Linked DNA regions of Astyanax mexicanus. The protein of the gene in region 2 purifies or fractionates together with the protein of the main gene of each other region. This does not show direct contact. Links are inferred from orthologs where the notes say so. Each region holds a gene or a part of one and is shown on either strand. Other genes may lie near its edges.

Region 1 (8,131 bases), on a different chromosome or scaffold from region 2:
ATTAGATTGTAACAGAGGTCAATGATTAAGAAAGTCTAATAATGCACTCCAAATATCTCCATATATCCATCTCTAGTAAATATATAAATGTGAAATGAGAACAGTGTGAATTGTTTTTGCTAAGAACAGATATGATAATGTCTGACCCTGATGTGATATTTAAGGTTGGGTGATATGGCACAATATTTTAGGGTATAGTATTGTTAACAACATGAAAAAGATTTTGGCGATATTATTGCAGAAGATACGATATGGCACACCCCTAGTTTATACACCAGCATACAGGATGAACAAGCCACATGGAAATGTAAATGTAAATGCTGCAGATTGACCATATCATAAAGGAGAACTCTGGTGTAAAATTGACTTTGGGTGTAGTAAGACATGATAAAGAGTACTAATCTTTGTTGAATAGCCCACAGCTTTCTGAAATCCAGCAATTTTATTTTATTTGTCCGAACACCATTAAGACTGGGTGATACGAGGCATATTCTTGCCCCTGCAGATACATTGCGTTTTTTCACCGTTATCCAGGCTCAAATAGTTCCACACCTTATTGGTAGAATCCAGAAAGCCCTGATATTTAAAACGAGGTATTAAGAACTTAAAAAGTGCATGAGAAGTTTATTAAAAAACCCTGTTTACAACCTGTAGCATAACCTACATCTCTGGGCTCTGCCATCTTAAGGGAGTCATGATCAGTAGGGTCACAAGCACGTAATGTTGACAGAAGCATAACAGATGAGAAGATGAAGATGTGCCTGCAACATTATGTGCTCTGGATAACGGTGTAAAAAGCGATGTATCTGCAGGGGCAAGAATATGCCCCATACCCCCTAGCCTAAAGGGTGTTTGGACAACTGGACTAAAATTGCTGAATTTATGAAAGCTGCATGAGAAAGAGGTGGGCAATTCAACAAAGGTTAGTTTTCTATCATGTTTTACTACACCCAAAGTTAATTTCACAACAGAGTTCTCCTTTAACCACACAACTTTTCTCATGCTGCTGAAACCTACCTGTCGGTAAAATGAAATTCCGTGCACTGCTGAGGCATAAGGAATGTAGTGTCACAGGAAGTAGCAGCAGAAGCCTCCTGCGCAACACAACACACAAACAATGCCATGGGGTCAATTCAGGGCTATCTCCAATCCTCACTAAACTACAGGCAGATGGTCCACATTAAGCAGGAGGAGGAACAGAGATCACCCATCCTTTGACAGATTGATTTCTTGGCCATTTTACATTTACCAGTTCTCTCGGCTCATCATCTGTGGTCGCTCTGTTTCCTTGGCAACACCTTAGGCCAGTCGTCCTTCTGGCTTCTTCAGACTCCTCCTCTTCTTCTTCCACTTCATCTGAATGTTCTTTAAGCTGTGATGCGAGAGAGTAAACAAAGGAACCTGCATGAATCTCACCGGCCATAACTATGGAGTGACTTGACTTCCTTGACAAACCACACACACAGAAACACACATTTTGTATCTATCTATTCTGTCTCTGTCCCAGATGTTAAGGCCCCTTAGCTGTGAAATAAACTACTAACTATACTTAGTTTGGAGGAGGCCTGATTTACTTTAATCAAACTCTTTCTCTGTGCCCATCTAAAGACAGCGGAATAAAAGTCCATATCCCTCACCAGAGACAAGTTTAGGAAAAGTGAGAGAAATCACGTAGGTGTAGGTTAAATCTTAGGATTCTGCCACAGAAGATTGAGATGTGAAGCAAGATAAATACAGCTCTTGAAAAAAAAAAATAATAAGAGACCACTTCAATTTCTGAATTAGTTTCTCTTGATTTAGCTATTTATAGATATATGTTTGAGTAAAACGAACATTGTTGTTTTATTTAATAACTACGGACGACATTTCTTCCAAATTCCAAATAAAAATATTGTCATGTAAAAGCACTTATTTGCAGAAAATGAGAAATGGCTGAAATAACAAGAACGATGCAGAGCTTTCAGATCTCAAATATTGCAAAGAAAACGAGTTAATATCCATAAAGTTTTAAGAGTTCAGAAATTAATATTTGATGTTTTTAATCTCAGATTCAATGCATTTCTCTCCTCCACCAGTCTTATGAGCTGCTTTTTGCCACTCCTGGTGCAGAAATTCAAGCAGTTCAGCTTGGTTTGATGACTTGTGTTATTCCAGAGGTTTTCAATTTAGTAAAATAAAAGAAACTCATCATGTTAAGTAGTCTCATTTTTCTCAGAGATGTATGTTTTTATTTTCAGGGCTTAAAGAGACCCCTTTCCCAAGTTGAGTGTTAGGTCAGGGAACAACAGCTAGCTTAATCTAAGGTAAATAAGGTCAGCTGGAATTCTCCACTGGAAATTATATTTTGTGTTCTTTTTGGTGTCTACCATAAACAGTTCCTCTTAACATTTACTAATGGAACTACTTAAGTTACCTATTTAAGGCACTACTGGAGCTTGAGTAGGGGTAACAACACAAACCTTAGCTGACTTTGCTGCCTGGGCGACTCAGCTGGGATGGATTTTTACTTTCTGGACCTGGGTTACCCCTGGTTCTAACTACTTTCTAGCTACTCCACAAGTCTAAACCTCAAGCACAGCAGTTAGAAAGCTAACCTAACTAGCTTGTTGTTAAAGGAGGATACAAGTACAGGCCAGCTGTCCAGACTGTAGCTAACCCCGGCTAACAAGCGGAATATCCTCCGCTACTGCTGCGAACCCGCTGGCTAACCGTGCTAAGCTAAGCTAGCTACCAAACCGTGTTATTATAACCTACGTTAAACCACCACTAAAAAAACAACTATACCTGAATATTTCTACAGCAAACAGGACGCTGTGTCCAGACAGCCAACACAAACCCGCCTCGCCTAATAATTAGAGTACCGCACTGCTCCCCCGCTTTACCCAGCGGAGCTGCAGCGCCTGTAGCCGCTCCACCGCTCGCCTCCAGTTATATACTCGGTTAGCAGCGAGCCTAGCTGGGCTAGCAACATCCAGTCTACCCCCGACACAACAAATTACTCACCTTCTGGGATCAGAAACGGGCCGGTAAAGTAAAATCCAAATTCCTGATCTCCTAAAGCTCCTTAAAGGATCCTCAGCGGCCTCTTAAAGGCGATATAAAAGCCTGAAACATTTTTTTCTATTAAGAACACAATAAGAGGCCCATCCCATCCTAGTCCGCCATTTTATTTCCTTCACTGTGAAACCAGCCGGTGCGGGCTGTTGGGAAATGTAGTTTTCTGACGTTTTTTTTTTGATGTAGTTTTGATTTACGTATTTATTTTTAGTTACTTATGTATATTTATATATAAATATACACTACCGGGAAAAAGTTTTACAGCACCCCCAAAAATTGGGATTTTTGCAAAATGCAGTGTTTTACTTATTATTTTTTATTAAACATTTCATAATTTAAAAAAACGTGTGTATGCGTATATTTTTATATTAGTATATTGTAAAAAAATCAGCTTTCAAAAACAGTTAAATGATTAAAAAATTGTATGTTATACAATGTTAAATAAATACATATTTTGTTGTATATCACACACACAGAACTGTTTATCTTAGCAGCTAATTCACCTAAAACTGTGTACAACAGAATATACCAGTAATAAATAATAATAATAAAAAATAATAATAATAATAATAATACACTTATTTTGGTATTTAAGAATTTAATGTTCAACATATTCAGGCAGCACTGTGGATCACATCAAAGAAAAATATATAAAATGTTCAAAAAGAACTTTAAAGTGAATTTTATTAACTTTTTTTCACTTATGTTTTCATTTAGTAAAACTGAAACATGTATAGTTACACAGTGCCTGTCTGAAATTTAAACAACTATACTGTGTAAAACAAAAGGCACATTATTTAATAAAAATATTAACCCAGATACTAAAAGGTTTTATTGCCTTCTAAACATTTATGTCGCCTGCACAGGCCTTTGGTTTTCTTTTACCTCCTTGTTCTTTATTAGCTAAAAATCATGTTAAAAAAATATACAGAAACAAATAAGTGATGACCCTTAAATTATCAGAATGATTTTATTGTGTTATTTGTTACATTTTGGTTTCTGCTGTTCAGTGACATTGAGCAGTTTATGAATAACATTCATTTGTGTACTTGAACTACTGGTCAGTGATCCAAGCATCTTGCATCATTGTCCGTTCAGGCTGCGTTTGCACAAATACTGGTGACTCTAGGTGTTGCAGTAGTTCTCCAGGTCATAGTAGTCACAGTAAAAATGGCAGCACTGCTCTACGATACCCCTTTTCTTCATTCTGGATCCAGATTTCTGCAGAACCTCACTGATCTCCAGTGGGAAGAGAACACCATCCTTCATCATCACACCTGGGGAGAGACAGGCAGAATCTTTCTTTCAGTCTACGACAGTATAAAAGGAATTTACCCATTCAAATTAATTGCCCATTAATAGGGAGTTTGTTTATTATCTTTTTCTGCATTAAGAGTCTGTACTCTTCCAGGGATGGCATTACAGTTGATTGTTTTTAGCCACATTACAGTCAATTTTACTGTAGGTTACACTCAGCAGTGTGCTTTGTTACCACATAACTGATACGAATGTCTAATTATTTTTAAACATAGCCTGTAGGCCCCATCCTAGATGTGGAGATCTGTGCAGGCGATATTAGAGACCAATACCATTAAAATTAACACAATTTTGTGCCGAAAGCTTTAAAACAAAAACAAAAAATCTGCAATAAAAATTGTAAGAATCAAAAGGATGTCATTCATATATATTTTTAAATATTATTGGTTACTTTATTATTATCCTTTGCATTTACTCGAAATTATTTGCGTTTGGATTTTGCTTTCTTTTTTTTTTTTTTTGTATTAATTTTTTTGATTTTGCTGCTAAAGCCTTCTGCTTCTGGAAGCTCTCGTTTGCTTCCTTTGCAATTTTAATTTTGGCACAAAATTAACTCCATACAAATCTCACGCGCACGCACGCACACACATATAAACGCTTACGAAGGTTCTCCTGTCTGATGCGCCTCCCGGGCTGATAGAAGACGCCTTTCTCTCCACACACGAACAGCAGGGCCTCCACCAGCTGAATACCACACAGCCTGCGGGTCCCGAACCCGCCACAGGGGGGCAGCAGAGAGGTGGCGCAGAACACCAGCAGCAGCAGAGAGGGGCTCGGCATCCTCCAACAGGAACACACACACACACACACACACTCCAACTAATGCCACAGTATTTATTAGTATATCGCTTTACGGCTCATTCTAGAGGTGCATTACACTGCATCCTGGAATCCTTCCTCAAAAACTGCTGTATGACCTTGGCCATCGTGCTGTATCTCAGTTTTACGTTGGTGAACTTATTATATATTATTTACAAAATGTAAGGAGAAAAATCTTTACACTTAATCATCACTGAATCAGTTTTTTAATTCCTCACTATTACTATTGCTTGGTGTAAATGTTAGGCACAATTTATACACAGAATATGTACAAATTGACTCCTAGCTTCCATATTATTGACTGTCTCTCCAACTTCCTCTGTAATTATTTGGTATAAAATGTCACAGATACAACAAACGGTATTTTAGTTATTTGTCAGATTATTATTATGATATTATTTAAATCTTTCACTCAGTTTTTATCAACAAGCATGTGTTAAAAAATCATACAATTCTGTTTTTGTGTATAATTTTTAATTGTATGTATTGCTATAAATTGGAAAATGACAGTTTGGAAAATTGGGTTTTTGTTCCTGGTCCAGGAGCAAAAATGTAATTAATGGAAGAAATAGCATAGTTGTCAAGCAGGCTTAATCCCAGGCCTGTAAAGTTAAAGAATGCATACTTTAAATATATAAATACAGTTTTTAATATGATAAATGCAGTAAAAAAAAGTTAAACTTACCTGTGTTGTCTCTGTTCCAGGTGAGTTCAGCCAGAATGAGTGTCAGTTTGCAGAAAAACCTGAGGATGCTATGTCCACAACATCTCTCTTTCTCTCTCTCTCTCGCTCTCTCTCTCTCTGTCCCTAATGCATTCTATCCACTGATATGTGCCCCCATAATGAGAGTCCATCACTGCGCTCTATCTGAACTGCCTCCAATTAATCACCTGCAGTCTGTTCGAATGATTACCCTGATCTGAGCATCCATTGCTCTCTCTCTAATTACCCTCATTAAACCTGACTGAGCCCCCCCAGTCCCAACCACTGGCTCGCTTTCATCCTCCCTTCATCCCTCACTTCACTCTCACTGTGAAAGGACACCGGACAATAGGTCATCTGTGTCTTTCTGTCATTTATTTCTCTCTTCCACTCTGTCTGTTGACCTCTTACTTTCCTTATTTATTTTCTTATTTCACTTTTTATTTTATGGAGCCCTGTGATGTGCTTTGGGGTAGCTTTTAAAAAGGTTTGTTATAAGAAAATGTTCCTTACATCACCTTATGCATTTTTAAGAGTTTCTCAAGGCACCTTAATGGGTTCCTCCACAGTTTCATAGAATGAAAGAACCCTAAAAAGGTTTCTTAAGGACCTTGTGGTCTTCTTTCTGTTTCAGGATGTTCAGCACCACCTCCACCTCATTCCCAACTCTTCATCTCAGCATTTTAGAGAACACAGTTTGACTGATCCACAGCTCAGTGCTAAGGGGCTCTACACTCCTCTTGTCGATGCCCTGCATTAGACACGGTGACTTCTCTATTCTGGTAAAATTGAGACAAGCTTTAATGGTCTATTTGCGCAGCATTGTTTTTTTGTCTTGAACATTGACATTAACTGAGGCAACTGAGGCTTGCAGTTCTTTGAATGTTGTTGTGTGGTCTTTTGTGACCTCTTGGATGAGTCAGCGCTGTGCTCTTGGGGTAATTTTGTTCGACGAGTCACTCCTGGAAAGGTCATCACTGTTTCCCCAATGTTTTCGCCATTTGGATAATGGATAATGGCTCTCACTGTAGTTCACTGGAGTCCCAAAATTTTAGAGCTAAAGAAATAGCTTTATAACCTTTTCCAGTCTGATAGATTTTAATTACTTTTCTTTATCCTTTGTTTTCCTCTGAATTTATTTGTATATTGGCATGATATCTTGCTTTTGAGCATCTTTTGGTCTACTTTGCTTTGTCAGGCAGCTCCTGTTTAAGTGATTTTTTGATTGAGAACAGGTGTGACAGTAATCAGTTCTGGGTGTGGCTAGAGAAATTGAACTCGTGTGTGAAAACCCATTGTTAAGTTAAGTTTTAACACTTTTTCCACACAGGGCCATGTAGGTTTGGATTATTTTCCTCCCTTATTAATAAAAACCTTCATTTAAAAATAGCATTTTTTGTTTACATGTGTTGTCTTAGAGCAATATTTCAATCTGTTTAATAATGAAAAACATTTAAGAGTGACAAACATGAAAAAATATAAGAAATTATGAAGGCGGCAAACACTTTTTCTCACCACTGTATAGTATAATTGTAAGATCTATATTTATCTCTATACTGTCCTGCACTGTATAGAGTCCTATCCACTGCAGTGGTAATTACAGAAAAGGATGGTCACTCTAATGGTCCGTCCAGAATGACCACACACACATGCGAGGTTATGAAACGGTGAGACGGGTGGAGATTAGATTAGGAAAACTAAGAGCTCAGTCTTAGGACAGATTAGAAAAGGCTGAGGAGGAGCACACACAGAATACACACATATACACAGACATCACACCTTCATACACACACATCAGCTGGACTGTTCAGAATCCAGTGCATCAAGTTTCCTACAAGGTAAGAACAAATAAACACTTTATTTGCTTTATTACATGTTTATAACATCCTGTGTAACGGGTTTTTTTGACCCCTTACAGATTTGCAAAATTACATATGTTATATTTACATAACATCAAAATGTGACATTAAAATGAGTATATTTATATATTATCTCTTATGCAAAAAACTTTTATCTTCTTCAGTTTTGAACTACAATTGAAATAATGTAAATCTTGTTTTTTTTTACATTGTAAAAATGCTGTACATGCAGTGCATGCAACCTGAAATCCTGAGCTTACGGATTATTGTTCAGTAACGTCATGGAAAGCAATACAAACAGACAATACACTAATTCTTATTAAGCAATAACAATGTATAATATGAACTAAGATACTCTGACAGTTTCTGGCTATGT
Region 2 (7,762 bases):
ATACGCTCACTTCCACCGCAGTAGAATGGTGTAGCAATGGTGGAATGGATTGGAGTGCTGTAAAGGCTTTCCATGGTCCTTTTTATTTTATCCACATCCTGATGTTCAATTGAATGTTTATGATATCTCAAAGCAGTGTTATATTTGACTGGGATGGAAATTTTGTGTTGGTGGTGGAAAGTATCTGTAGCTAATTAGGAACTCAGAGAGATAAGTGAATGTGAAGAATATGTATATTAATAAAATATAAATCTTTGCAAACAAGGTTCTGTCTTAAACCAAACAAATATTGTTAATGGTATCACTCAACTAACAATTCGAAGAACTTTGAGGGTGCTGTAACACTGACCTTGTTTGTTACAAAGTTTCAAACATTTCCGTTTGGCTCAAAACAATCTAGCCGGTGTAAAAGCTGTGACTCACCATGATCCGTACTGTAGTAATAAGAGTTGTTCAGATCAAATGAGGTAATCATGATTCAGACAACATGAACCATAGTCCACTTGCTAGTTTATCGTCACCCACTAAACAATAGAAGCAGAAAAAGACTTGGCGATGTGCTGAAATTCCACTGGGTGCAAACACTTTCACAGTGTGAAACTAAAAATGAACCGAACCGAATATATACAGTGTAACTCCAGTTCAGACTTTCAGATGCAAAAACACCTGAAAGTGCACAATAAAATACCCTTGTTACTGTTTTTTAGGCTGGACCTAGGGGGGTGTTGCCCCAATAATCAGTATTAGCATCAGTCTAATACTGACCAAAATCCTTAGTTCCATTACAGTAGGAAAAATATATAATCTTATATGGTCCATTTTCTTCAACTATCACAGAAGTATAAAAAACCCTAGACCCCAAGTCTACACGTGTAAAGCCTACATGCCAGTATTACAGGCTTCAGAAAGAAGTAGAATATATAATTCCAAGTTTGAACATGATGCTGTTTAGATGGCTATGTTAATAATAGCCCATTTAGTCAACTGTATTGTAAGTGTATAGCTGAGTTTAAGAGAGGAATTGAATTAAAAAAGATCATTTAAGTCAAAGAATTCCATTTAGGTAGTTGTTTATTTTGTTTACAGAATTTGAAATGCCACCTTTCTTTTATATTGTGTTGAATTTCATGAACAATGGATTTTATTAACAATGAATTTCACAAACAACAGTTGTGGTTAACATTAAATGTCATAATTTTTGTTATTTTAGTACTGCCTTATTTTTTTGTTGGGAATCATTAAAGTTTAATTGGACTGGATTAAAATTAGAGCACAACAATCAGACATTTTCACTGTTATTGAAAAACATTGAATCTCCAAAATGCATCTTTTCTAAAGAAGGAGAAAACCTTTTTAACTTTCAATAGAATTGTAATGTGAAAGATTCATTCATTCTGGGTCATTGTAAAACATTTATATTATTCCATTCATCAGGACATTTTAATACAATGTAAAGAACAACTTCCAGATTCACATTATGTCAAAAAGTAGATATAGAATTTGTATTTTGCAGGAAAGCAACAATAACTGCATCATTAAAAGCTTTGAATTAAAAGGTTTTTATCTGAGTTTTGTATTATGTTAAATGCAGGGTGGTGTCTGCAGTACACAAGGGCCATGAACTTGTGGCTGTGGAGACATCTGCATGCATTCTCTCGCTCAGCCTGTTCTGATATCAAGGTTAATGATATGAGTGCCAGCAGCTCCAGGAGAATGCGGCTGCGGAGAGAACGAGGATGTCCCCAAGGACCTTCGTCAGTTTGGACAACTCTTTTTGATGCAAACACCATGCGCCGTGCTTGGATATGTGTGGACATCTGCCCAGGCTAATCAGCATGCATGGCCTCAGTTTGGGGGTATCTGACCTGCCCGAGCAACAATGGCCAGGCAGTCTGATCTATGGCACACCGCTGCTTCTGCCTTTATACCCTCGTCAAAGAAGAGCTTTTAAAAATCGGCCTTTAAAGCTACAGAAACTGCTACAGAATCGAGATGAGCCGTTTCAGAGGGGCTGCAGAAATTAAACATGCTTCCTCCTTCTTTTCCTTCTTTCTTGGCCTCTTTCGTGCTCTGCCACATGCAATTTCTCTTTGTCATTGCCTTTCTGCACCTCCCAGTATAGATAGAGCAGTGTCTGGGGTAAAGGGCAGAGCAAGGCTGCTGAGAAGCTCTGCTTAAACACTCTTTCAGAAGAGTCTGCTGCTCTGAAATACATATGAACTTGTGGACTAAAGAAAGGCCTGGAAAATCATGAATAGCCGAAAAAAGTGTTCATATGTGTATCAATAACAAGCCAGATAAATATGGAAACCTCAGTAAAGTTGTAGAACTAGGTTGAACTAAGTTGTAGAACTAGGTAGAACTAGGCTGAATGATATATTTTTCCAGGAAGAATTGTGATAAACAATATTATTGTCATTTTAATCATGTTATGCCACTGATATTGGTTAATTATAAATAAATAAATAAACATAGCATAAGAATGCAGCTACACTCTATTATGGACCAACATTTTTTTTGATAGTTAAAAAATATTATTAAAATTATTGATTTTATATTGAATGAAAAATAAAAAAAATATTATCTTACACATAATGGGCATTACTGAGGTCAGCAAAAATATTGGGGTTACATTCAAATATTCTTAATAAAACAGTGATTGTGACTGGCCTATACAGTACTACAACTGATATGCATGTGTTTGCACATTTCATATTTTTACAATAGTTACTGCTGTATGTATTCAATTGTTTAATTCCACTTTATAATTTTACATATAGTATAAAGGGATGATCTTCTTCATCAAATTACTGTGTTACAGTGTTTCCATAACTCAACATGTTTATAGTATTTTATATATTAAACCTACCTCAACCATAGTATCTTATTATACATCTAAATAAAATAGTGAACTATAAAGGAAAGATCATATAAAAAAAAACAATTAGATGGTTAGATCATAATTGAATAATGAAATGTTTTATTCCTATGTGTGGAAAATCAATAAAATGATGTATATGGTCTAAATAAAGAAAAAATACATTTATAAAACCTCAATGCTTACATGTTTATCATGTACTGGCCCTTTAAATGAAACTCGTGTCGATCTCCACCGCCCCCTACTGGTCTAACACTGCAATAAGGGCTCAAATATTAGCAGAATAAAAAATGTACGCATAAAATAATACAAAAAATAGTGATAATAGTAATAAAAAGATTGTAATAGTATTTTTGTTTTTTTAATTTTAATTCTAATTTTTCCCATTTTTCTCCCCAATTTACACTGCCAATTACCCAACCCACTCATTAGGACTCCCCCTATCACTAGTAATGCCACAACACTCCAGGAGGGTGAAGACTAACACATGCTTCCTCCGATACATGTGAAGCCAGCCACCGCTTCTTTTCGAGCTGCTGCTGATGCAGTATTGCCGAGCAGCCAGCGCGCTTGGAGGAAAGCACAGCTGCTCGGCTCCGGTACATCAGCTCACAGACGCCCTGTGCAGCACACATTACCCTAGGAGTGATGTGGGGAGAGAGCGCCATCTACCCACCCAGAGGGAGCAGGGCCAATTGTGCTCCCTCTGACGCCGGCAGCTTGATGGGTAATAGTATTTTACATTGTAATTTAAACGAATAGCAAATGAAATTAAAAGTCGACGCTGTACTTAAGTTGTAATAAATAAATAATAATAAAAAACATAAACACAAATAAACTTTAAAAAAGAATAATGTAAAACCCAAACGTTAGATCTCAAACGTAAACTATGACTTTTCCCTTTTTTGCTCTATTTAATGAATCAATGTATTGAATTATACTGACCTCTGGTGGATATTTTATGGTAGTAATGTCGAAGGTTTTTCTTGATGTTTTGACCTAATCAATTCTTTAAAATGTGCTGACCTCTTGTGGACATTTTATGTAAAAATAAATAATAGCATTTTTTTAAAGTCAAATTTAGACAACTGGATGTGTTGCATATTTAATAAAAAAAAATCAACGAGATGGATTTAATGGATAACAGCGAAAACATTGATTACGAGAAACATTCATTGATTGGAGTATACAATATACAGTGGTAAAAAGAGCATGGGCTTTGCGCATTAAAAACACTTTATAATGCTTCTTTTTTCGTAAATTAAATAAATATCTAGAGCAATTAGTTAAACAGTATTTTAAAGAGTCTCCCTCTAGCGGTGCGCAATCATTTTCAGGTATAATGGGGAAAGTAACCTATGTAGGATGTGGGCAGGCTATTTTATAGATAAATGAACAAATGAAGTATACAATTTGTGTATTATATCATCCATGATTTAGTGTCCATTTACCTTTTTTTCACATAACCTATAATATAAATACTGTTTAGAGTTTATAAATAGCTGTTTACTCTGAGCACAGACTCTTATTTTGAAATCGGGGTACCCGGATGTGAGGCAGATGTTAGCTTTGTTCGGCGGCGCTAACGCTTTAAGCGCAGGACGTGTTCCAGTCATTCAGCGCGGTTTATTAATAATACAAGACTAAATACATCCAGATCAGAGATGTTTTACCATGTAAGTTACTGATGGGTTTATTAGGACTTTGATATAGAATTCAAATAAACCGCTAGACCATGAATTAGATTAATAGCTGTTGGACAGTGTTTATGAGTGTGTGCTGCATGAATGTAGTTGGCTAGCTAAAGCTAGGCAGTAGGGTAGCCAGGTAGTAGCTAGCTAAGTAAGTTAAAGTGTTCTGTTGTGTTTTTTTTTTTGACATCCAGTTAAGGGGAAGACTGTGTATAAGAATACTTAATTTACTGTACATTTGTGTGGCCATTTCCACCTTACTAGCTAGCGTTACCTATGTAAATTATCATTTACATACCTTGCTAAATAGCTTAGCAAGTCACTTATGATCTGGTAGTTTTAAGAATTCAACAAGTTAGCCACAGAGTAGTAAAGGCCACTTTAATAGTAAAGGGCAAATTACCTAGTCTTTTTAATGGCTGAGAATTACCTGAGTGTGTAAGATGGTATTCAGCTTTGGTAGCTAGCTAGAATATTGTTTTATGTGCAAAATAATACCCACCCTACAGGTAGCTACATAATGATCAGTTTCTCTCTTTTAACTATTTATAGGTATATGCTTACGTACAGTTAACATGTGTTTTTTTTTTATTCTGTAAACTAGTGACAACACTACTTCCGAATTCCAAATAAAATCGTCATTTAGAGCATTTATTTGCAGAAAATGAGAAATGGTCAAGATACAAAAGTGCTTTTAGAACTCAAATAATGCAAAGTAAACAAGTACATGTTCATTTTGAAACAACAATACTAATGTTTTAACTTGGGACGATTTCAGAAATCAATATTTGGCCGAATAATCTTGATTTTCATCACAGCTTTCACACATCTTGACAATATTTTCATTTGAAAATTGGGAAAAATTTTGTAAGTAGTTTAAAGCAACTGTTAATTTTACTCAAACATACCTATAGCCTAAATAGTAAAATCAGAGAATCATGACTGATAATTTTGAAGTGGTTTCTTCATTTCTGACCATATCTGTATATATTATATATTTTATTTTATTGTAGATTTCTCTGGAACATGAAATCCTTCTTCATCCTCGATACTTCGGTCCAAACCTCTTGAACACAGTCAAACAGAAGCTCTTCACAGAGGTGGAAGGCACATGTACAGGAAAGTAAGTCCCACTGCAGAGCTTTGCACCACATTTAATATAATATTTAAAATGTCTACGCTATTAAGCTGACATTCTTCGGTTTGTTTCTTGTTTCTCTAAGGTATGGGTTTGTCATCGCAGTGACCACAATTGATAACATAGGGGCAGGTGTTATACAGCCAGGACGAGGGTTTGTGCTGTACCCTGTCAAATACAAGGCCATCGTATTCCGGCCCTTCAAAGGGGAAGTGGTGGATGCTGTTGTCACTCAGGTTAACAAGGTACGGATTCAGCATGTCTCCCAGTCATGATTTTTTTTCTCACTAAGTGTTTACACTTGTGTGAGTTTGTTTTCTTTTCATTTTGTGCTATATTGTATAGTTTCGTAAGTGTTTTAATTGTTTAGAATTATTTGCCTTCTCTTTACAGGTTGGATTGTTTACAGAAATCGGGCCAATGTCTTGTTTTATTTCACGCCATGTAAGTTGATCCATATTACCATCAATATAATTTGTCACACAGACATTATACTCAGTATAAAGACTAGATGTTGTTTATTTAGATAGTTATATAGATACTTTTTTTAGTAAAGTATATCTGCATCTAATTTTGAAAGCGGTGTGGATTTCATTGCTGAGTACAGCTTACATAAAAAGCTAACACACTTTTGATCCTTTGTTGTTTAGTCTATACCCTCAGAAATGGAATTTGACCCAAACTCTAATCCCCCCTGCTACAAGACAGTGGATGAGGTAAGGTGATAGGTGATTTTTTGTTTGTTTTAATACACTGTAATCAATGATTTTGTTACAACAGTTGAATTATTTATGTCTTTGCCTCCTTAGGATATTGTTATCCAACAAGATGATGAAATCCGATTGAAGATTGTGGGTACTCGAGTGGACAAGAACGATATTGTAAGTGTATGGTTACGTGTGGATTGTTGTGTAACATATGCATTTCATGGCACACCATAGTTGTATTAAAACACAGCAAAAACTCTGCTTTCTTATGATGTGTCCAATTATCATATTTTTACTGTATTACCATTTTTTCCTAGTTTGCCATTGGCTCCCTCATGGATGATTACCTGGGTAAGTGTTCTGTAACTACACCAGAGGGGCTTATACAGAACAACTATAAGTTCTTTCTGTTTAAATTATAATACAATAAAAATAGAAGAAACTGTAGTGATACTATTACGTTGCATTATTTGAAGACAGAACATCATCTACTAAAAAATAACAAATTGTTTTGTTTTTGTTTCTGAAACGTTTTGTTGTTTTCTTTACAGGTCTTGTGAGCTGAATGATCTCTGAAATAATCCAGAGGACTTTTACATTCTCGGACATTTTTTTGTACATAGTTCAATATACAGTGTAGAATCTAGAATACAAATGTTCCTGTGATTTATTTTTTCCCCACAGTAGTCTATGCTAAATTGTACTTTTTTGTTTATTAATTTGCTCATGAGAGTTATAAGAGTATTCCTTCCCTGTGTATTTGCTTTGGCCATATTTTACACAATTGGTATCTCCAATGTTACACAGAAATGAATGTTCAATTTATGTGCGTTTTTTAATCATTGGTAGTGTCTATATAATGTCACACAAAAAAAAAATCTGATCAAACCAGATTAAGAACTTTGTGTCCCAGCCAAAGACATTAAACCAGTTTGATCCAGCCAGCTTTACTCAGAATTACCAGGGAAAACTGTATATATTTTTTTTTTATAAAAAGAAAATCTCAAGAAAAAGTAATGTGTTTGGTATTTTTTTGTGTATTTCACTGTGTGTGTGTGTGTGTGTCCTCTTCCTCTTTCATACTTAAGTGCCAATGTGGCCAATCATGAATCTGCATCAACAGAAACATTGTGTACACACATGGCAGTAGCAAAGCTGTAACAACCAGGCTAAAGCAAATGTGGGAAAGAGAACAATTATGTATTGAGTTGATTTATGTGGTTTTAAGGGATTTGCAGCCATCAGCTATTGGCATTTTTTATGATAAGGCAGAAGGAGGTGGGGGTCATGTGGAGCAGTGCATAAATATATTGGGATTGAATCATATACTGTATAATATTGTAAAACA
Region 3 (8,242 bases), on a different chromosome or scaffold from region 2:
AGTGTATTCTTGAAAAAAAAAAATCATTAATTTATATCGCCAAGTGTACCGTTATCGCAATGACCATGAAATATCGTGATATTATTTTAGGGCCATATCGCCCACCCCTAGTCTCAGCTGCCTCTTCCACAAGGTGTACTGATTTAAACACACATTAACAACTAGGCAACACATTTTATATCCATTATGTTGACTAATTATTGACATAATTGCCATTCAAACATAGGAATTTTCTCACTACAGGACAAAAGGAGTAAAATGTTTTATTATAGACACATTATTTTTCACATTATAGACTTTACCCAGTAATTCAGAGCTAAGAAACAAATGGTTAGAATTAGTCTATGGAGGAAAAACACCACCAGCCAAGTAAAATAGAGATAGGTAGGTGTTTAGATGTTTAAAGCAGTTGGATTTTTACTCTCTGGAGCTGGACTATCCACCTCTGTGAGTAACTATAGGTTTAAATAGGATCTCCGGTGGATTTGGTGTTTTACAGAGACTCTAAGACTAGGTCAGTGTCTGAACTGCACTAAGCAGGGCATTATTACACATGTTGTAAAGTAACATATGACATTGCAAAGACTGTTATTAGTGTAAAAATGTCTTAATTTTAAAACGTCTCGTCTCTAAAATCTTCCGAAACAACTTAAACAAAATAACGAGTAAATTAGTTTTAAGTATTAATCTATTTGCAAATATAACACATCTACATATAACATAAGAGCTCATCAGTCACGTCACAGTGAGTCGGTATGAGAGCAGTAAAGGATACTGTTTCATCACTTCTTTATAGTTGACCGTGTCTCTGATATCTGCAGATAAAACACAAAACAGTATTAATTATTAAATCTCTTTATATTTAAATTTAACACTTAAAACATTTAAAACAGACTGGAGATGCTGATGAAACTGAACACTGACTGGGGGCGGAGCTTCCAGGAGGAATCTGGAACCGAGCTTTATGGGATCTGAAGTTTTTACACTAAATGTAAACTTACTGCTCGTACAAAGCACTAGAGTACTAAAGCACTTAGAAGGGGTGATATTATACAGCTCTGTAAAAAATGAAGATTCCACTTCAGTTTCTGAATGAGTTTATCTGATTTTGCTATTTATAGGTTTATGTTTGAGTAAAATGAACATTGTTGTTTTATTCTATAAACTACAGACAACATTTCTCCCAAATTACAAATAAAAATATTCTCATTTAGAGCATTTATTTACAGAAAATGAGAAATGACTGAAATAACAAAAAAGATGCAGAACTTTCAGACCTCAAATAATGCAAAGAAAACAAGTTCATATTCACAAAGTTTTAAGAGTTCAGAAATAATCAATATTTGGTGGAATAATCCTGGTTGGTTTTTAATCACAGTTTGTTTCATGCATCTTGGCATCATGTTCTCCTCCACCAGTCTTACACACTGCTTTTGGATAACTTTATGCTGCTTTACTCCTGGTGCAAAAATTCAAGCAGTTCAGTTTGGTGGTTTGATGGTTTGTGATCATCCATCTTCCTCTTGATTATATTCCAGAGGTTTTCAATTTGGTAAAATCAAAGAAACTCATCATTTTTAAAGGGCTCTCTTTTTTTACAGGGCTGTATACTAATGTATTGCAACATTTTGTTTTGTAATACTGTATCAATTTTCAAAAACAATAGTATTGATTAGTTTAGTATTAGCTTAGATGTAAAGATTGGTGTCAGAAGTGGTTCAATAAGTTTTGCGTATAAGCTCCGCCCACTAGATAGCAGTGTTATATTCTTTCATTAGATCCAACTGTTCTGATTGGATAAAAATTTTACTTTTACCGATGTTGGCTGGAAACGGGACTTCGTGGACGGCAGGGTCGAGGTTAATAACGTACGGAGGAGAATTCTTAGAGTGGAGAAAAGCAGTGAGACGCTGTAAAATAAAAACAGAAGATAAAGAAATTATTAATATTATTATTATTATTATTATTATTATATTATATATTATACCATGCATAGGCCTGTCAAAATAATTATTGCTGTGTGGACAATATATTAATAAATATATACATAAATAATTGCGATAAACAATATTATTGTCATTTTACATCCATTTTATGCCACTAATATAATGCTATTTTAATTCTGATGAGTATTCAGACATTCAGACTGACATTAAACATTTTTTTTTATATAAGCCCCTCATAAAAAAGTCATAAATAAAATGAAATCACAGTTTTGTAAGTTTTTAAGACTTTCTGGCAATTCACATGAATGTGCTTTTCTCAATCAGATTTTTTTTTTTGTTACACTATTATAATTTTCTACAATTTTCTTGGTAAATGTACTGTTTCCAAAATAAACAAAAGTTTACAGATTTATTTTATTTCTACTAAATGAAAAAAAAACGGTAATATTTATATGAACTAAAAATATTTGTATTTATTTTGTTGCACTTATTATTGCAATTATTATTATTTTTTAAATCAAAGTTTTGTCAAATCACCAAGAATATTATTATGATAAAAAAAACTGAAATAACGTGACAATATTTAAGCGCCACCTCTATTCTGTAAATAAAATATTAAAATAAAAAGTTCATAATATTTATAATAAGACAATATATATTTTTTTATTGTTTTAACAGGCCTTGAACTAAACTCCAATATAAAACCAATACCTATCCAAAACCTCTGTTTATAAAATATCTATATTTATAGTTTTATTTAAATCTGGAAAAGTCTGCAATGACTATTTTATACTTTAAATTAGAACTTAATAAAGTAAAAAACTTGTGTGATATGTGATTTCACATATTTTGATCCAGTGTTTAAATGTTAAATAAAGTAAATAAAGAAGATAATAATAATATTAAAACACATTAATATAAAAACAGATAACATTCGGGTGTTTACATAGTTCTGAACATGTATTTAATGATTAATGTGTGTGTAATAATTAAGCTGAAGTAAATGTACAGCACTCTGTGTAAAGTTTAGAGAAGCTAAAACTGATCTATATTTTCTATTTTTGATTATTTTTAAAGCTAAACTTGGATTCTTTTCGAATTGTCCGTTCCACCTTAAATAGAGCAGTAGCAATAGAAAAACACCTTCAGGCGCCAGAATGGAACTATGGAACATTTAAGGTGGACCGGAGGAGATAGCCCTCGTGTATCTGTACCTGTACAAACGTGGTTTTCCCGGATCCAGCCATTCCCAGAACGATGAGACAGACGGGCTTCTCCCGCGGGCCGCTCTCCCCGCCCGCCCCGGCCTCCTGCTCCCCCGCGGCGGGTCTATCCTGCGGGTTTTCTCCCGGAGCTCCGTCCCCGGTAATAGAACCACCGGCAGCCGCCATGCTGTACACTACCGCAGCGCCGCGGACCACGTGACTACAGCTTTCCGCTCAGTACCGCTACTGTCCGCTAGATGGAGACAAAACCACACTTTATAAACCCGCCATAGTAAATAAATAGTAAAGTGATCAATCAGATTATAAAGAAATACATAAATAATTCATTTAGTAACTTAAAAACAGTGTTAAACAAACCTAAAACTCTTTTAACTTGTGGTTTCTGGGGCTGGTAACTTTGATAAACTTATCCTGTACATCAGAGGAAACTCTCGCTCTTCCTTGTTTTCCTGATGAGAGCCAGTTTCATCATTAATAACGTTTTGATGGTCTTTTTTGTGGTATCTGCACTTGAGGATACTTTCAAAGTTCTTGAAATTCTTCTTTTTTTAATTGACTGAACTTCATTTCCAATTTCTTAAAGTTTTTTTTCTTTACGTAGTTGAGTAGTTGTTTCTTCTCATAATCTGGATTCGAACATTACTCAAATATTCACTATTCACTGTATACCTGTAACTCTACCTCTTCACTACTTTACTTTAACTGATGCTCTCAAACACTTTATTAAGAGACAAGAAATTCAAGTAATTAACTCTTGATGAGTTCAGCACAGCTGTTAACTAAAAGACTGAATTCCAGGAGACTCTACCTCATAAAACTGACTGAGAAAATCCAGCAGAAATGTTCAAAACTCATCATCTAAACAAGAGGAGATACTTTATATATGTATATATATATATATATATACAATGTATATACAATTTAAACAAAATAAAAGCCTTTAAATAAAATCTTACTTTTAATGCATTATTTGGATAAAATATATAGGAAAAGAATTGGAAAAAGTTCTCGACAAAATATTTACAGACAAATTATGATCAGACTGTACCTGAGGTGGGAAAATGTATTTACGGAAAGGCTTAACTAATAAACTAAAAATCAGACAAAAATCAGTATTTGTAATAAAATGATTAAATGTGACCACAGGCAGGCGCTGCTGCATCAAAAGTGAATAGAAAAAATAAAAACAAAGTTAAAAACGGTGTGGCTGAATAACGTGTTATTTTTACAATAAGCAGGAACTCATTTTCAGTGATGAGTCCAGCTGCGGATACTGGAACTGCTTGATAGCTGCTGTGAAGCTGGAGACGATGAAACCGAAACTTTATGTGAAGCTCTGCTGCTCTTTATACAGCATGAATATCAGTTTAGGAGCGTAAACTGTTAAAAGCACTGTCTGATATAGATCACATTAAAACAATGACACAATAGCATATACAGACACTTTTACCTGCATGTATTTTTATACCTCTGCATAAGTTTTGCTATGGAATTCATGCACTCTAGTTTTTTAGTTCTAATTTTAGAATATTTGCAGGTAACTGACGTTATTTTAAGATGTTATTTTATACATTCTTTCTGATTCTCAGCTTCGTCATATTAATAAATAAGAACTCTGAATGTGTAACAGCAGTAGATGGGTCTGTGTAAAAGCCTCTGAGAGGAAGTGAGGCGAGAGGGAAAGCCGGGGTAATTCCAGTGTTTAGAATAGTCCACATAATTCTGGTAAATCAGCTCTGAGTGATGATGTTTCCTCAGCAGGTCCAGCTGCTTCCGTACAGGAGCTCCCAGAGCTTTGGTTCCCAGAACCAAACCTCGCCAACATCTACTGAACACTAATATACAGTCATTAAAGCAGCCGTCCTTTAGAGTTTTTTAGGTGTGCAAGGCTTGTTTTGATGCTAATTGCTATCTTACCCCCCACCAACAGTCTATTTTCATTTGAATATCAGCAGAGCTTCTGAATATATCTACACTGATGGGCGTGGTGTTCTGGAAATGAGGTGTGTTCAGGTACATTTCTGGAGTTTTATCTTGTTTATCTTGGTAACAGAAAACACAGGAGCTCCACTGACTGAATACAACCTAGACAGACGCCAACAGTCAGACGTTCATCGCTATCTCGGTAACACAGGCACTGTGCCGAGCCGAGCGTACGCCCCCACTTATTACACACACATGAACACACAGCAGCACAAACCCAACTTTTACATCAACAATAAACAGAATAGTAAATAAAATAACATTGCTGTTCCCGTAAATGAGCTGCTGGAGCTCCTTCACAGCGTCAACCAGCAGCTCAGTTTCCTCTGCTGAGAAGAGTTTGTTGAACACGTCCAGGTAGCTGCACCGTTACAATAGCAATCCACCAAAGACAGAGCTCACCTGACTCTACTCTTAAAGAGAATGATGAGCAAACAGATAACACTCTGATTGGTTTATTTATTTCACGTTACGCCCAAGGTGTACTTTTCCCGTTGTTACGATAGCAAAGACACACTTGACTGCTTGCATAAACATTGCTAACAAAGAGCCCATTGAGTATTTTTGGGGAGAGGGTCAGCAACATGCTAATTGGTTGTTATTGGCTTGTTTCTAATAAAGTGGCCAGTGAAAATACAGCATTGGAAAACACATAATTAAGTCTATAGACTTTCTTGGGAAAGTATCAAATGATTTAGACAGAAGTTAGCACTATGCTAATTGGTTGTTATTGACTTGTTAGCTGCATTAGCTTCGTAGCTAAATAAAAAACAAAAATCACATCCCGTTTAAAACTGATTTAATTTAACTTTAGAGAGAAAGCTGAACTCATTTCCAGCAGTGTGGGGTTTTAATATCTCCTGCATGTTTTTTATGTGTTTCTGTTTATAGAAGCGCAGCGTCTGCAGAACGTTCTCCAGGATGATGAGTGTTTTACAGGGAGGACGTTCTGCACCGGGGTCACTGTCCCTCATACAGATACTGCAGATAGGGAAGGAAAAGGATGAGCCCGGAGTGGAAAAACAGATTTCACATAACCCCTGTTATCTGCTGTACACTCCCCGGCCACTTTATCAGAAACCCCTCCCTCCCTGCTGTACAGTTACAGGACTACAGTGTGTGTTAGCTGTTCTTTATTCTTTACTCAGAGATCAGTTACTTTACATTATTATATTCATGTTTATTCACTGTATAATTATTTATTCACCACTGTGCACTATTTACCATCTACTATACACATTATACTCATTACCTATTAGGATTTATTCAGTATCCACTATGAATTGCTCAGTAACCACTATTAATTACTCAATACTTACTATGAATTACTCATAATCCACTTGGAATTACTCAGTACCCACTATGAATTACTTTGTATCCACCATTAACTATTCAGTGGGCACTATGAAGTCTCAGTATCCATTATGAATCACTCAGTATCCACAACAAATTAGCCAGTACAAACTATGAATTACTCCGTATCTAGTATGAATTACTCAGTACCCACTATGAATTACTCAGTACCCACTATGAATTACTTTGTATCCACCATTAACTATTCAGTGGGCACTATAAAGTCTCAGTATCCATTATGAATCACTCAGTATCCACTACAAATTAGCCAGTACAAACTATGAATTACTCAGTATCTAGTATGAATTACTCAGTACCCACTATGAATTACTCAGTACCCACTATGAATTACTTTGTATCGACCATTAACTATTCAGTGGGCACTATGAAGTCTCAGTATCCATTATGAATCACTCAGTATCCACTACAAATTAGCCAGTACAAACTATGAATTACTCAGTATCTACTATGAATTACTCAGTACCCACTATGAATTACTCAGTATCTACTATGAATTACTCAGTATCCACTTTAAATGACTCAGTATACACTATGAATTATTAGTGCCCACTATTAATTAGTCAGTATAAACTTTGAATTACTCAGTACTCACTATAAATTAGTCAGTATCCAAAAGCAATAACTCAGTATCCACTCTGAACTATCTACTACATACTATGAACTATTCAGTAACCACAGTTTAATATGTACTGTAAATTACCCAGCATCCACTATGAATTGTTCAGCACCCACTGTAAATTATTCAGTATGTACTGTGAGTTATTATTTATCATCCACTAGGAATAGTTCAGGATCTAGAATTAAATATTCAGTGTCTACTATCAATGATTTAGTCACAAACTAAATATAATTCTGTATCCACTCTGAATTATTTAATATGTGCAGTGGTGCTCAGTGCTGGTGTTTAAAGGGTTAATAGTGAAGATATAAAGAGGTGTTGGAGGAGAAACAGAGCTGCACTGTGTTCTGTATGATCATGTGGCCACACTTTATCACATCATTTTACCTTGTGAATCTAATTTACTATAAAATCATTAAATGAAACACTCAGATCAATAATCTCTTTGTAGTGAAGAGCAGGGTCATCATCTCTCTGAACATGTGATACATCTTATACATACTGGATACACAGGAGACACACTGACGCAATATACGACCTCTTTAACCCCTCCACACACACACACACACACACACACACTGTAACATACACACACACATACACACACACACACACACACTGTAACATACACACACACACACACACACACACACACTGTAACATACACACACACATACATAGTATAACACACACACACACACACACACACACACACACACATACTATACCACAAACACACAGACACACACTGTAACATACACACACACACACACACACACACACACACACACACACATACTATACCACAAACACACAGACACACACTGTAATACACACACACACACACACACACACACACACACACTGTAACATACACACACACATACATAGTATAACACACACACACACACACACACACACTGTAACATACACATACACATACATAGTATAACACACACACACACACACACACACACACACACACTGTAACATACACACACACACACACACACACACACTGTAACATACACACACACACACATACACACACACACACTGTAACATACACACACACACACATACACACATACACA
Region 4 (7,706 bases), on a different chromosome or scaffold from region 2:
GACTTGTTTCTATTGAAATCTGCACCATTTGCACAGCTAGCACCATAGCAGTGGTACCAGTCGGATAAACTGTACACATATTGCTATTAGCAGCGTGTTAATTTTTATATAGCAAACAGTAGTATCCACGTTAGGTTTGGTAATGGGGATTCAACACCAGGATAGCTCACAGGCCATTTTCCTGGCATGAGTATTGGTTGGTTTCAGTGGATACTGTTGTGAGGGGGTCAGATACTTGCTTGTAGTCCAGTAAATGTTAGGAACTTCAGTGTTCCAGCTTTGGTTTGGGTAAAGATTCTGTATTCAGTGTTGTTAAATGAAAGGTGAATGATATGCAAGTATTTTTTAAAGCAGTCGTGTAAGTGTGTTTTTAATTGTTTTAAATAATTTTGCCAATGCAGAAAAAAGCTAAATTAAATAGTGCAGAACTGCATTTTTTAAGATTCTGTATGTATATTTCGAATACTTTTGATTGATCAGTGTTAAACTACTTATAAAAATAACAGGACAGACCAGTTATTCACTAAATTCAGGTGTTTCATTTACACCCATCGCCACAGGTGTATAAAATCAAGCATTTAGCCTTTCAGTCAGCTTTTGCAAAAATCATGAAAAAATTGGTGATTCTACAAAGTCCACTCAAAGTCAAAATCTCCCAATTTCACCATCAACTGAGAGTAAAATAATAATATAGAGGACTTTTTTTTTTTTTTTTTTTTAGAAAAACACAGCACACCGGTCACAAACCGAAAAAAAAAAAAAAAAAACTACATAAAGTTACAGAGTGATGCCAGGTGCAGAGAGTCACAGTGCATAAATTAGAGCTGCTCAATAAGGGCTGTTTTCCAAACCTGTGCACAGGGAGCTTCATGGCTGTTTTCTTGGCTGAGCAAGCCCTATGTCATTGAAATTAAGCCGAGTATTATATATTTATATAGTAATACTATATTTTCCTTTCAATGGAAAATCTTCATCCAAATTGCAGTGATGAAAACAGCTCCACAGTGTCAGATGGAGTAAAAAACAAGTTTTGTGTAGTGATAAATTAAGATTTTTTTTATCTGGCAGGCTATGGATGAATCTGGGGTTGACTGTGCTGTTCCAACTGTTCCAATGTTTGGTGGAAGAATGGAGAGCTATGGGGTTGTTTTTAGGAATTCAAGTAAGGACTGGGAGGTTAATAAAATTAACCTGATTAATCAAATTACTGTTTGCACTGTGTATAATATAAAAGCTACATTTACTGTTGAAGGGGGCTGCTTACTATTTATAATAATAATAATAATAATAATAATAATAATAATAATAATATATATATATATATATATGTGTGTGTGTGTGTGTATGTGTGTGCGTGTGTGTGTGTATATATATATATATATAGATAGATAGATAGATAGATAGATAGATAGATAGATAGATAGGTAGATAGATAGGTAGATAGATAGGTAGATAGATAAACTTAATGCTTCAGCATTTTAAGATATTTTGGACAACTATTTGCTTTCATCTTTGTGGAAAAAGTTGGGAAAGGTCCTTTTCTGTTCCGGCATGACTGTACCCCTGTGCACACATATTTAGTGGCTGGTCATTTGTTTTTGTTTCTTCCTTTGCATAGTATTGTACAAACATTATGTCTTTATGGGACAGTTTAGCTTGTGCTACATGACACAGTGGTAAATGTATACCCTTAAAAGTGTAACATATGATTAACCATCACTATAAAATGTTACATGTTAATTGTGCAACACATACTAGTTTCTAGTATATTTCAACCCACTCTATCAAACATAAATTAACAATTTGTTCAATGTGTAATTATAATTGTGTTTTAATAATTTTTATTTAGCAACACTTTAAAAGTGGATTTTAGCTGTAGGCATTTGCTTAAGGACTGTTGCAGCACCATGACAAAAGACAATGGAAGTTGACTGCAGGTGGGATTTTATTAAAAGTCTGGTTATTACGAACATAAAGGACAATTTCCGAGTTCTTATCTCTAAAATATATTAAAGCATGAGCACATGAAGGGCGATGGGAATAAGAAACACAAACAACAGCAGCTAACAAGCAACAATAATATCAGAACACAAAGGTTTTCCACTGAGAAGAGTTATACAATAATAACCACCATCATTATAATCATCATCATTAGCACCACCCCCATTAGAATTTAAAAAATAAGCCAGGTTCATGTAGTTAGGTTATTTTCTTTCATTGACCTTCAGTGTCAGAGGTTTACAGATGTAGAGCCCACAGCCAGCTACATTAACTACAATATACAACAACATGTGGTTAACAATAATAAAAGCATATCAAAATAGCTAACTATAGCTGGTATATATGTGTGGAAAAACTGAAGGAAATTTAACTGTTTTCCTGAGATATGACCGATATCCGAACTTTCATAACAGTGTACAGCACGGTTACTTAACGCTAGCTAGTTACGTTACCTAACGCTAGCAGGCTAGGCTAAGCTAGGCTAGCTAGTTTAGCTAGGCTAGTTAGCGGGGTTTGAGAGGCAGTAACAGGGTATATAAACAGCGGTACGCGCTGCTGTATGATAATGCTGTGTAAGAGCATTAAACTCCGAGGCTTTAAGAATTACTTACTGTTTTATACGACAGCACCCTCTTCCCGAGGACACGGTAGGCAGCTAGCGCCGCGGCCATGTTGCTAATGTGTTAATGACAGGTCTGAGTGCTGCCCTTCCTCTGCTGCTGGAGTTACTGCGGGAGTGTCAACCGACTGAAGAGCTGAACCGCCACCCACTGTACTGGAGCCAGAGCTCAGCCTGACGCAGTTTTAAATCATACAACAGCAGCGCTGTCTCTGAACTGCGACACGACTGACTTTCACCACTATTTAACTGTAAAATATTATAAGTTTATTAAACGGTCGACACACTTACTCAGTGTTTACTGTAACACATCGGAAAAACAGAGCACACCAACAGCAGCAGAGAGAGGAAAGCCTTTCTTATTTTATGTAGGTTATTTAATGCGTTGTTTCTTAGATTCTCTGGAGTAGCCTTGACATCCTTAACCTCAAGTCCACTGACTGCTCATTTTTCTTGAAGAAGAGTGATACATTATGTTATGAAAAGAAAGATAGTATGTCTTACGACAGTTCTTATATTTTCTTTTTCTAAATGAGAAGTTAAATAAAAAAAATGCTGTATATAGTATAAATACACAGGGCACAGTGTGTATAATAATTTTGAGTGTATAATAAAGTTGAGAGTTTAATATAAAACATTATTACATTATTTTTAATTGTGACTGGGGATATATTTTTTTTTTGTTTATCTATACATAGTAGATAAACTGAGCATTTTAAAACGTGTGTATTTGATTGGCTGCCCTGCTGTGTAAACATTAGCATTATTGGTTCATTATTAGCATTACATACTTACTATATATATCATTCAGATTTTTTTAAATCATCTGAGGTTTAGTTTTAGTTAAGGGTTTTTCTGTGTTCAGAATCGTACAAATATATTCTCAGTAACAAAATAAAAGAACTGATATATAAAATCTTGCATATATGCTACCCAGTTAATGTTATTTTGTTTGTTTTTCTTTTTTTCAATTGAACACTTTTTATTTTTGGATTGTTCTTTTTTTAGACTTGAAAGAAGCTCATCTTCCACCTCCCATCCTCACCATGCTCTATAGTGGGGCTGTAGGAAGCATCCTGAGCACCTGCATTACCGTCTGGTTTTTGGAACTGCAACATCTCGAATTGCAAGACCCCACAGCAGAAAGTGAGGACAGCTGAGAAGATATTCAGAGTCTCTCTCCCCTCCATCACCAACATCTACACCACACAGTGCAACTGCAAAGCCACCAGCATTGCGGACGACCCCACCCATCCCTCACACGGACTCTTCGCTCTGATGCCTTCCAGCAGAAGATACAGGAACATCCGAGCCTCCAATATTAGACTCTGCAACAGCTTCTTTCATCAGACCATCAGACCCCTCAACACACAGATACAGAGCTGACCCCCCCCCCCATCACCACACAACTGAACTGAACCCTCCCCTTAGCACACAGAGACTGAGATGTCTCTATCCCTATCAGCAATATTTGCTTCATTCTATAGAAGTATAACTCTCTACCTCAGTAACTGCTGTGAACATGTTTGTTTTATATGTTAAAGTATGTTAAATATCCCTACACCTTTTTATCACTATACACATTTCATTGTACCGTAACTGCACTGTCCTGTCTGTTCAATTGTTCAATCACTTTTGCACTTTATGTTTGCATTGTTGTCCAATGTTGAACTGTGTTGGTTCCAGAGGACACTGGTCACTGTGTAATCAGATGTAATGATAATAAAAGACTCTTGACTATATATTGGATATTTTGATAACCCTTTATTTTACCACAAGGACGGCTTTATAGTAGATTTTATAATAATTGTAGGTAATTTTTTATATGCACAAAACGAAATTCGCAAAACAGATACCCTTATTCCATATAACATTTGTTTATTCTGTGTTTTGGATTGTCTGTTGTGAAAAGAAATTCACTCTCCAGTTCAGAGGAGGCAGTGCTGCACCTTAAACTGGTTAACGGCAGAATGAGGCAGTAGAAGAAGAAACCGGAAACTGAATCTGGTCAACTTTCGCTGTGTTTCCTGTTTACGGGCGGGAAGGGAGAACAGACCTGAATCTGTGTTCTGGCTGCATAGTCTGGTTTAGTCTGTATATTCACAGGTTTAGCCTGATTTCTGCGGTTTAAAGCAGCCTGTGTATCGGGGGGAGATCGGTGCAGGGCGCTAGAGAAGCATGGAGGAGCCCGCGGACTCTGGTGGAGGCAGTGGAGCGCTGCTGAGTGAGATCCGCTGGCCCGCGGGAGAGCGCTGCATGCGGCTGCTGGAGTGGAAGGTGAAGCCCGGAGCTCTGGTTAATGTGGACTCTGTTATCGCAGTATGTGGAGCTTCAGCCGCGGACAAGAAGTCCGGAGCGCAGGAGCGGGACCGGCCGAACAAACCGACCGTCCCCGAGAAGAAGCTGAAGTCGGACCGAGCCGGAGTTGTGAGAGAACTTTGCTGTCAGCTCGGGCAGGACCTATCCGCCGGGTAAGCTGCTGATTAAAGAGCAGAGAGGCGCTGTAACACATTAACATCACTACATTCACCCAGATCAGATCAGTTCATCACCACAGTCAGAGTCACTTATAGTTACAGCAGGTTACTGTCTGCATGTGGTAATTTGGGCACATGAGCTGCTAACAGCAACTTGAGCTTAAGAAGAGCTTTTCAAAATAAAAGTCCTGAGGGCACCTGTTACACAAGGGGCTAATATTTGCCAACAGTTTAAGAAGATTAAATAAAAATAAAACTTATACAGCATGAAGGTACAAACATTGCTAACTTCTGCCTTGCTCCAAAACACATTGTTTTCATAATTAGGTAAACAATTTTACCCGGCGCATGAAAATGAACTAACTAAGTTACAGCACTAACACTAAAAAAGTAGGATTGAGGCTATGATGGTAATGCAGTGGATACAGCGATAGGTAAAATAATGGTATTTCCAAATAATGACAGTATTTCAAAACTGATATGTATGTTGACAAATTTCTGCTACAGGTAATTTTGTTTACTTTATTTTATCTACAGTATTTAGCCTGCACTACACTGTTACTTTACAAAACATTAAAATAATTACCCTTATTGTTACCCTTATTGTGTTCTCTATTTATATGTGATCCACTAAGTTCCAGCCTTCAGTATGAATATACTAATACAGTTCAGTGAAAACAATTGTATATGTATATGATTTATATAAGACATTTGTTTTTATTTCATCTTTTGGTTTCACATATGTCCATAATTAGTCACAGTTTTAAACCCTGTCTTTTAAAGTAACAGGTTAAATAATTAATTTACGTATAATATACATATAGAGACCACTTAAAAATAAGTTTCTTGGATTTCACCAAGCTGAAAATAACCAAGCTGATCTGCTTGAATTTATGAATGCCATGAAGTTATCCAAAAGCAGTGTGTAAGACTGGTGGAGGAGAACATGCCAAGATGCATAAAAACTGTAATGAAAAACCAAGGTTATTCAACCAAAGTATTGATGTATTTTACACAACATCCATATGTTAAAACCAACCACATATGCAAAATCTCTAAACTACTTTGCATTTTATTATCTGGTTGTGATTCAGTCCAAAGAAGTACAACGAATGTTGCATGATCCATATGTGTTTAAATAGTTTGAGTTTTAGAGGGATGACATTCAACAGATATCAAAGTAAAAACACAACCAATGTTCTTTATCCTGTGCCGAACACTCTTGTCACTTTGGATGCAATTCCTTTAGCTTTTCAAATGTTGCTGCAGTACTGTGTTTGGGTTTGTGTGTGGTTAAGGATGTTTATTAGATCTGCAGTGTACCGATATTTACTTCACTGTACTGAGCTGAATTGTGTACCGTGTAGAGGGGTATCTGGTTTGTGGTGTTAATAGTCTTTAATTCACTTCTTTTGTAAGACACAATAGTTTTATCCATTTAACAAATATTGCAGTTTAAGTCAGATATGGTTAAGAAAACACCACACCTAGCTAAAATTACTAATGGGGCAGACACACAGCGTTCAGTGCTGTCTTAATTAGTCTCTGCAGCCTTGCATAAGCTCTGCAGTTTCATCTAGTGGTTATACAAGGTAATTGAGGAGCCCGCACAATGAGTCCCACAGAGATATGCTGTAATCTATTCTCTTGTTTATGGGACTGTGCATATCAAAGCATGACAAATACACACACACACACACACACACACCTCTACAAGTCAAGTTTGTTTTGCAAGTGGACACCCATGTACTGGGGGACCCTATCACATCTATATCCACTTAGCTTTGGTTGTGGACACACAGTGACTGTTATAAATTCTGTTGTGACCAATGAAATAGCTTATTTATAGTTGTTTGGATTTTTGATTGTTGACGCAAGAAGTAGATACACAGCACTGTCTCTGTGTCTGTGTGAGTGACGGGCCTCTGCTGCCTGAAAAGCACGAGGGGGTAAATGCACTCTGGACTCTGTGACGTCATGGGCCCTGCATTTTTTTAATATTGCGATATATATTGTAAAAAAAATAAAATAATAACATTTGCAATGTAACAGTTTTCCAATATCGTGCAGCCCTAATCTACAGCTTTTTTTCTGAGTTTCTTTAAAGAGCTCAATGGTTCTTCATACATAGCGAATTGAATTAATTGATTCGATTGAATTGAATTGAATTTTTACATTTTAAAAATAACCAAAGATATGTTCTATTTTACTCATAATTTGTAATCAAGTGATTTACAGTTTTGCACACACAACTTATGCTAGATTTTATTTTGGGCTGATTTTTTCATGTGCTACTGTTTGTTTTAGGGATGTTGTCGTGAGAATAGAAGAATGCAATCATCCTATTGTTATGAAGGGTCTGTGTGCTGAATGTGGCCAGGACTTAACACAGTGAGTAAATACACACTTTCTATAAATCTCTAAAATTAAATTCTTTATGCCAAGCAGGACTTTCTATTAATTGACATTGACGTTGCAGTTCTTTGAAACACATAGCCATTAATGCCTCCATTACTTAAAAAGCACTTTTCCTGTGAATGTGTTTTAAGGCTGCAGAATAAGAATGGAAAGCAGCAGGCTCCCATCTCTACAGCGACAGTTTCTATGGT

The links.
Region 1: the proteins of polr2g (region 2) and scaf1 purify together in Homo sapiens (affinity purification with mass spectrometry; 3 studies listed by BioGRID and IntAct, counting the BioPlex papers as one, with this or other methods). This does not show direct contact. The link is inferred for Astyanax mexicanus from reciprocal best matches to the Homo sapiens genes POLR2G and SCAF1.
Region 3: the proteins of polr2g (region 2) and gpn1 purify together in Homo sapiens (affinity purification with mass spectrometry; 4 studies listed by BioGRID and IntAct, counting the BioPlex papers as one, with this or other methods). This does not show direct contact. The link is inferred for Astyanax mexicanus from reciprocal best matches to the Homo sapiens genes POLR2G and GPN1.
Region 4: the proteins of polr2g (region 2) and ctdp1 purify together in Homo sapiens (affinity purification with mass spectrometry; 4 studies listed by BioGRID and IntAct, counting the BioPlex papers as one, with this or other methods). This does not show direct contact. The link is inferred for Astyanax mexicanus from reciprocal best matches to the Homo sapiens genes POLR2G and CTDP1.

Annotation. Positions count from the first base shown.
Region 1 is NC_064426.1:20,093,268-20,101,398, forward strand, and holds the start of scaf1 (splicing factor, arginine/serine-rich 19), read right to left. Parts: upstream 3,186-8,131; 5' UTR 3,004-3,185; intron 2,896-3,003; exon of another isoform or gene 2,785-2,895; intron 1,373-2,784; 5' UTR 1,250-1,372; intron 1,095-1,249; 5' UTR 1,056-1,094; coding exon 1,018-1,055; intron 1-1,017. Other genes in the region: insulin, read right to left, coding at 4,183-4,334, 4,977-5,154.
Region 2 is NC_064417.1:39,776,979-39,784,740, forward strand, and holds polr2g (DNA-directed RNA polymerase II subunit RPB7), read left to right. Parts: upstream 1-4,405; 5' UTR 4,406-4,542; coding exon 4,543-4,554; intron 4,555-5,582; coding exon 5,583-5,692; intron 5,693-5,792; coding exon 5,793-5,952; intron 5,953-6,100; coding exon 6,101-6,151; intron 6,152-6,357; coding exon 6,358-6,423; intron 6,424-6,516; coding exon 6,517-6,588; intron 6,589-6,731; coding exon 6,732-6,765; intron 6,766-6,965; coding exon 6,966-6,979; 3' UTR 6,980-7,427; downstream 7,428-7,762. UniProt on the Homo sapiens protein: Core component of RNA polymerase II (Pol II), a DNA-dependent RNA polymerase which synthesizes mRNA precursors and many functional non-coding RNAs using the four ribonucleoside triphosphates as substrates.
Region 3 is NC_064421.1:730,253-738,494, reverse strand, and holds the start of gpn1 (GPN-loop GTPase 1), read right to left. Parts: upstream 3,372-8,242; 5' UTR 3,338-3,371; coding exon 3,161-3,337; intron 1,911-3,160; coding exon 1,817-1,910; intron 816-1,816; coding exon 776-815; intron 1-775. UniProt on the Homo sapiens protein: Small GTPase required for proper nuclear import of RNA polymerase II (RNAPII). May act at an RNAP assembly step prior to nuclear import.
Region 4 is NC_064410.1:21,965,270-21,972,975, reverse strand, and holds the start of ctdp1 (RNA polymerase II subunit A C-terminal domain phosphatase), read left to right. Parts: upstream 1-4,627; 5' UTR 4,628-4,798; coding exon 4,799-5,091; intron 5,092-7,404; coding exon 7,405-7,488; intron 7,489-7,646; coding exon 7,647-7,706. Other genes in the region: sdha (succinate dehydrogenase [ubiquinone] flavoprotein subunit, mitochondrial), read right to left, coding at 2,613-2,672. UniProt on the Homo sapiens protein: Processively dephosphorylates 'Ser-2' and 'Ser-5' of the heptad repeats YSPTSPS in the C-terminal domain of the largest RNA polymerase II subunit. This promotes the activity of RNA polymerase II.